2 linked regions of the Canis lupus familiaris genome follow. The protein of the gene in region 1 interacts with the protein of each later gene in a biochemical or structural test. Links are inferred from orthologs where the notes say so. Each region holds a gene or a part of one and is shown on either strand. Other genes may lie near its edges.

Region 1 (3,566 bases):
TCGAGAGGCAGTCACCCACCAGGGTCACAGAGCTCGGGATGGGTAGAGCTGAGATCTGAATACAACAGTGGGGGAGTCTAGAGTTTACCCGCCTTGGCCTCAGAGACGCATGGAGCAGGCCAGCCTGTGACCTCCCAGCAGCGACAGATGCACTTCTGTCATGCAGCCAGTTTCAAAGGCCCCCCAACTCCCCAAATCAGGTAAAAGTTCCCTGCTTCAGATGGGGAGCTCCTTGAGAGGCTGCCCCCCAGGATCTGCCTCTCACCTGGAGCGCCCGTTGGATGGAGTGCCGTCTCGGTGAGGGGTGTTGAGGCAGGCTGGCTAGGTCAGGGCATCGCCAGGAGGGTGGCAGGGGGTGTTTGGTATGTGCTTCCTTTTCCTCCCCCCTTGAGCATTTGGATCTAAGGCACAGAGGAAAGAGACATGAGATTCCAGCATTTCTGTCTAAGGAGCGGAGGGGTGGATCCCTCTCCCTCCTTCTCTGTGGCCTGTTTCTGTCTCATTTATTCATGAATTCCTTCAGCATTAGGGAGCACCTGTTCTGTGCACAGGGCCAGGTGCTGGGAACACAGCAGCGAGCAAGGCCCACTGGCCCTGCCCTCCCAGTCTGAGGCAGGTGACACACAGATGGGACACTGGCAAATGTAGGGGGGCACCTCCCACAGCGGGGTCTTAGGAAAGACTCCTGGATGAGGCCAGAGGACAACAAATGAGCTTCCTATGGGAAGAGACCATTAAGCAAAGGCCTCGAGGTGGCAGGGGCAGGGCAGACTGGGAGGGCTGTCACGGGGGCTGGGTTAATACTGAGCCCAGGGGATGCACAGGGGCCTGAGGGTTCCCTTGCATCTTGGCTTGTGGCCAGACTCCTGACGGGCAGCTTCTAGAAAGAGGAGATGAGAAAGCAGTGATTTTTTTTTGTTTGTTTTTAAGTCACTTGAGGCTCCTGTCCAAGCAGAACATTTCCTGAGAGTTGGCTGATCAGAGGAAGATTTGGGTGCTATGAACTATGGCGGGCAGAAACTTGGCTTTTATTTGATTTTTGGGCTGATATCTGTGTGTACCATGGCCAGGCCATCTAGTCTCAGGGATCCCTGCTGACTCACAGCATCGGCTCCTGGAGGATGCGGCAAGGTGGTGCTGTACTGGGCTCGGCTCTGCAGGTGCGGGGCCTGTGCCCGGAGCCGGGCAGGTTACAGCAGGGAGCACTGTATGCACAGGATTCTCTGGCCAGCGAATCGAGGTCCAGACAAGGGAAAGGAGGAAGAATCTTGAGGCTGCCCAGGTGAGGCGAAGAGATAGCCCGGAGTCCAGGGAGTAGAGAAGTCTCGGTGATGTCCAGTTCAGGCTGGATCACTAATGGGTGCAGCTAGCACTGGGGGGCCACCTAGCAGCCCCAGCGGGCATGGTCAGCCCCAGCATGGGCATTGCAGGCAGAAGCCACCCCTGCCCATGGAGGGTGGGGCTCATGTCGCACTGGCAAGCTTTTCTGACCAGGCAGCCTGTCCCATGACAAGATGCACAGGCAGGATAGCCCAGGGATGGGCAAGTCACACAGAAACGGGGGGAGTCTTATCACTGAGACGCGTGGCCCTTATGGATGGGAGAATTGTGACAGCACCTAACATTTGTCAGAGTCTCCATGGCAGGCACACTGTGCTGTCACTGTGGTCTGCTGGCAGATGACTAATGGGCCAGCAGCAGAGGGATGGTTGGGACATGGGGATGACAGGGTGAGGGGGACAGCAGTGGAAGGCCCCCAGTGGACCAGATACCAGGACCCAGGCGCTGCCATGGTGTGGGACAGGATGGGGTGATAGATGTGTTGTCACAGTTGTGTTGTTTCAGTTGTGGTCATAGCGGAGTTTGCACGAGCTCAGCAGGCAGATGGCCCCGGCTGGGTGTCTGGGCCTCAGTTCGCCAGGTGGCTTAATCAGCAGCGTCCCTGTGGTGCTCAGACAGGAGCAGTGGAGGGTGGTGTGCAGAAGCCCACTAGCAGGGATAACAGGGTGATCCTCACACCCGGGGTGGGCTGGGTGGGTGTGCAGAATGTCCCCAGGAGAGTAGCTGTCAGGGAGGCCATGTGGGACCAGGGTGGTCTGGAGCTGCATGTCCTGGGAGTCCACCCCGTGGCTGCGCCTGTGGGTGCAGGGACAAGACTGGCAGGAATGTTCCTTCAAGCGCTGGGGCAGCTGGTTGGAGCAGGATGGGGCATTTTGAGGAGGAGAGGGTGGGCTCTGGCTCTAGGGGCTCCTGCCTGGAACCTGGACTCAGGAGCAACAGGAGGCTCTTCCTCACCACGCAAACACAGCCTTCCTATGTGCCCTGCTCCCCACATGTGAGTCATATAGGTGCTCAGTGCAGCCTCAGCCTTCCCCCACCCCCCGCCCCCAGGAGATGAGTCCCCAGCGGAAGCAGTTTGTACCACACACAGGATGCATCCAGTGTGATGCCACCACAGCCTTTTAGGGCAGCTGCAAGAACGGTGTCGGCTGCTATGAGGCCATGTCCATGGAAATGACACATGTCCCGTCTCGGCTGCCTTGTGGTCTCTTCACGACGCCCCACTTAGCAGCCTGGGCCTTCCTCCCAGTTCCAATAGGTTGGACAGTTGAGGCCCAGGGGATCCGCCAACAGCTCCTGTGGCAGAGCTGGCCTGGTGCCCCAGCCTCCTGCCTTTCTCCTGGAAACTTCTAGAAAATTTCCCCATCAGTGCCTTGTGGGATCTTGGCAGGGCCCTGGGTCCCAGCATCCCTCTTCAGTATTTGCCCTGCTTTTTGCCCTCCTCCCCAACAGGGCCTAGAGGTAGAGATTTTCCCCAAAATATGTGTTGGGGTGTGGGAAAAGGTCATGTTGTGTTCATGTTATGTCTGTAGGGGGCGGGAGGTAGGAGTGGCAAAGGGAGCTGGGGTGGGGGAACGGGCTCTGAGACCAGTGTGGCTATTGAGGCCACCACAGGGTCAGGGGGCGCACACTTGGTGGCGGGGGGGTGGGGGGTGTTCATGAATGTGTGTGGAGCGAGTGGTCACCCTTGCAAATAGGGCAGGGGTTGCGTGCCTCCTTTCCGAGGGAAGTGCCCCCTCCATCAGGAGCCCCCCGCTCCATCCCACCCTGCCTTTGATGAGAGGTCTCCCTGTATGTCCACAGGCTACATCCAGAAGATCAAGTCAGGAGAGGAAGACTTTGAATCTCTGGCCTCACAGTTCAGCGACTGCAGTTCGGCCAAGGCCAGGGGAGACCTGGGTGCCTTCAGCAGAGGTGCGCAAGGAGTGGGCACTACCTGGCCCTAGAGGAGCCTCTGTCCCAGCCGCGGGGATCCCCCTGCCAGGGGGAGGTTGGGAGGGGTAGCCCCGGCTGTGCAGGTCTTCAGGGTCCACCAGGTGGCAGCACAGTCCCGCAGGCTCCAGAGGGACTCCCACTGCTGGGGGGTTGGCTGGGCTGCAGAGCCCTCTGCCTGGCTTCCTTTCCCCCCTGCGGTGGGAAGTCCGTCTGTGGGTCCCTCGATGCAGTTGTCCCCATCATGGACACGGCAGGGTAGGTACTTGGCTGCCGTGTGCCTCTCCTCTGGT
Region 2 (3,566 bases), on another chromosome or scaffold:
AGAAGAGAAGAAAGGTCGGTGAGAAAAAGCAAGCCAGGCAGGAGAGCACCTGTCTGACCCGCCCGCCGAGGTAGCCAGACTGGGTGACCCTTACTGCCTCCCACCACAAGGTGGCGCAAGCCGCCCAGCCCAGGGACCAGGGAGGCCCCGACTCTTCCTCATCAATTGAAATGGCAGCTGCCGGGGACCTTTGGACATCATTTTATACTCTAGAGGGTGGAGTAGTCCCTCTCATGCACGGACATCCTACTTTTATTAGGGACAAAGGCCATGAGTACGTGATCTGTGTGTAGGACACCCCATGATGTAACGCTCTAATCTTTTCTTAACCCTCAACAAGGAGCAGATGCCCAAGAAGGGACATTCCTGACTATCCAGGATCCTTTGCTTTGGGCCCCGGATGGGAAGACAGAGAAGTGGGCAGCTCAGCCCCAGAACTCCAAGGCTCCTCCTCCCTCCTGGGCTTAGCCCAGAACTTCAGGGAATGGGAAGGAGGAGTCAGAGAACGTTCCCTGGGAAGACAGCTAGGACTCTTGCACACTCCAAGGTCAGCATGTTCCCCTTTCTCTAGGATCCCAGGGAGATCAGTGCCCAAGCACCGTCCCCACCCCTCCAGGCAGGTGCTAGCCCTTGCTCCCAGCCACGCACCAACATTCATGGCCAAGTTCACCCGGAGGTCCACGTCCTCAGCCCAGGCCTCCTGCACTGGGTCCTTACACACCACAGGGAAGATGCCGCGGTACAGGTGGGCCTGGCGAGCAGTCTGGTGGTTCCGGGTCACAGCGATGATGGGGGCGCGGGGGCGGTATCTAGCCACCTGGTGAGCGGACCTGCGACAGGATGACGGCCAAGCAGAAGAGACCATTAAACAGTGTTCCAGAGCCTCCCAGAGCCCCCCACAGGGCCTTCAGCAACAACTCAGCCTCTAATCCAACTCATTCTGCCAGCATCAGACTCTGGCCACTTTAGCATCTGCTCCCCGTGCCAGGGCTGCCCCTCGTCCTCCACCTTCCGAGGAACAGAATCCGACTCTTCTTCCTATGCTATCTGTCCACTTGGCTTTTTACCCCCCTCCCCACAGCCCAGGGCCCCAGGATCACACCGACCCGGCGCGGTCAGTCTCACCCACTCACCCCACACGACTCAGTTGGCAGAAGCCCCTCCTCTGAACTTTCCCATCCTGGCACAGATACAGCCCTGCCCAACCTCACCAGCACCCATTCCTCCTGCTGCCAGCAGCAGCTACAAGCCAAGCAGCATGTGAATAGCACCTGACTCTTGGCATCTGCAAAGAACAGCAGCAGAGCTCACCAGCCCCCCAGGGAACCTACAAAGCCAGCCCTCTACTGCTGTGCCCTCTCCCCCAGCCTACATGGCCCCCAAGTCCCTAAAACAGTCCTAGCAACCCAGCTCTAGAGCCAAACCTGGGTATTACCCAGGAGGCTAGACCAGGAGATGGGAAGGTTAATGTGGGAGGCTCTGTCTGTGCAGAGTCCCCTGGAGGGTAGAGGGCCCCTCTGGGCCCCAGTGCCACATGCTTCCTTGAACATTGTACACTTGTGGCTGTAGACCGGTCTCAGGAGCTGGGGAGGGGCTTGCTTGCAGGAGGCACTGGGCGTCGGAAGGCAAGCCCTAAGGACACCGACAGGTGTCAGGGAAACTTAAGCCATGTCACAGCAGAGGCTGCCCTGCTAAAGGCCTGGCCCCCATACAAGGCTTCAGAGGGAAGCAAGTGCTGAAGTCGGGACTGGTTAGAGTGAAATCCCAGAAGACTGGAGCTAAAAATAGCCAAAGAGCAAAGGCTGGACCTTTCCACAAAGGTCAACCCTGATGGTTGGAGCTGTTTATCCGGAGCCCTCTGCTGAGGTAATCTGCACAGATCTCATGTCCCGGTTCTACACGCAACCCCACCTGCCGCACCTCCATGCTCGGGGACCACCAGCCTGACCCCATCCCTTCCCCTTCCAGGAATTCCTGTGGCCCTGCAGGCAGGGATGAGGAGCACACTCCCAGACTGGGGCAATGACAGAGGCTGACTCCATGTCCAGATGAGGAGGAGATCCCAAGCCAAGGCCAATCAGCAGCCTCAGCTCGGCGGCCCGACACTAGGGTGCCAGCAAGATGACGTGGTGACCTTTCCTAGGCCTGAATCTGCTTGCCTTTGGGGCTCAAAGACAGACAGAGACAGGTGCACCAACCCAACAGCACGTCAGTGAACAGCACTAATCTCCCAAACTGAACTTTTAAAGGGCATGTAGTGGCTGGAATGAACAAAACTGGTCATCAATTACTTTCTTAAAAGATGAACTTTCACATACTCAAGTGAGCATGTGCAGTCTGTCGTTCGGCAACGAAGTCTCTAGTCTAACCTCGGGTCCTCAGGCCCAGGTGGCAGGCAGAGGGGCTTACCTGGGCTCAGGGCCATCTGAGCCCCGATCAACGCACGGCTCTCGGGACGCCCAGGGAAGGTGCCCCGAGCAGGGCGTGCCCTGGGAGCCGCTGCCACCTCCTACCTGCCAGACTTGGTGAGCACGATTATGGCCCCGCTGCAACACTTGAAGGAGGCCTCCACGGCGCCCACGGCGGCGGCTTCTGTGGGGTCGCTGGTAATGGGCGCCAGGCGGCGGAGTTCCTCAAATAATTGCAAGTGGTAGATGGCGGCCTCTGCCTCACGGGCAATCTAGGGGAGCAACATCCGTCCAGAGGGACAGGAGGGGGACAGGACTGTCAGAGCGGTGTCGCACGGGAGACGGAGGGGAAGAGGCTCACAGACAGCTGGTGAGGGACGTGTCCCCGGACAGGAGGCCAAGAGGCGGCGGACAACTGGAGCCGCGGACCCGCGCAAGACCAAGGTTCATGGGAACTGGCCCATCACCAGGTGCCTGTGGCAGCCACTGTGCCTACCGAGCCGGAGGCCCTTGCGGTCCTGCCCTGCCCTGACTCCCTGGCTGGCTTCCTGCAGACGAGGAGAGGACTGGAGCCGGGCCCCAGCTGCAGGGCTGCGCCCCAGCCGTCTTCTAGATCAGCTGGAGCAAGAGGCTGGTTATCCTACGGAGTTACCTGCCCTTGGGGCCCTACCTGCCAGACTCCGTCAGAACTATCAAAGCTGCTGCTAAACACTTATAAGAAGCCTCCACGCTGCCCATGGCCATGGCTTCCATGAGGTCTGTGGAGTGGCTTGAGCCTCGCACAAGTTCTTCAAACAGCTTGCGGTGGAACATGGCTGCCTCAGCCTCACGAGCTATCTGTAAGGTTTGGAGGGGGGAGGAGAAGCAAGAAGAGGGAAGGAGGAGGGAGAAAAACGAGAGACAACACATGGAAAGACAGAATGGGGAATTAATCAGAGGAAGGTAACCTTAGGTTAATTGGCTAAATCTGTCCTTCATGCAGATGCGAAGAGGCAGCATGATGAAAGCCCAACTGCTCAGGGATGGCTGGAGAATTTCCAGCATCAACTGCTGCTGTTTCCTCTCCAAAAGAGGAAAAATGGGGTTTTCCATTCTGGAAGGATTTTCTGATTGGGGGTGGGGGGGTAGAGGGAGACAAGATGGCGGCAGGCACCGGCG

Evidence for each region. The genes of interacting proteins can lie anywhere in the genome.
Region 2: the proteins of PIN1 (region 1) and PKM form a complex in vitro, tested with the Homo sapiens proteins (2 studies listed by BioGRID, with this or other methods). The link is inferred for Canis lupus familiaris from reciprocal best matches to the Homo sapiens genes PIN1 and PKM.

Annotation. Positions count from the first base shown.
Region 1 is NC_049241.1:51,553,134-51,556,699, reverse strand, and holds part of PIN1 (peptidyl-prolyl cis-trans isomerase NIMA-interacting 1), read left to right. Parts: intron 1-265; exon of another isoform or gene 266-401; intron 402-1,103; exon of another isoform or gene 1,104-2,136; intron 2,137-2,422; exon of another isoform or gene 2,423-2,690; intron 2,691-3,144; coding exon 3,145-3,255; intron 3,256-3,566. UniProt on the Homo sapiens protein: Peptidyl-prolyl cis/trans isomerase (PPIase) that binds to and isomerizes specific phosphorylated Ser/Thr-Pro (pSer/Thr-Pro) motifs.
Region 2 is NC_049251.1:36,154,026-36,157,591, forward strand, and holds part of PKM (pyruvate kinase PKM), read right to left. Parts: exon of another isoform or gene 3,246-3,566; coding exon 3,079-3,245; exon of another isoform or gene 2,681-3,078; coding exon of another isoform or gene 2,514-2,680; exon of another isoform or gene 1,969-2,513; intron 1,867-1,968; exon of another isoform or gene 831-1,866; coding exon 649-830; exon of another isoform or gene 1-648. UniProt on the Homo sapiens protein: Catalyzes the final rate-limiting step of glycolysis by mediating the transfer of a phosphoryl group from phosphoenolpyruvate (PEP) to ADP, generating ATP.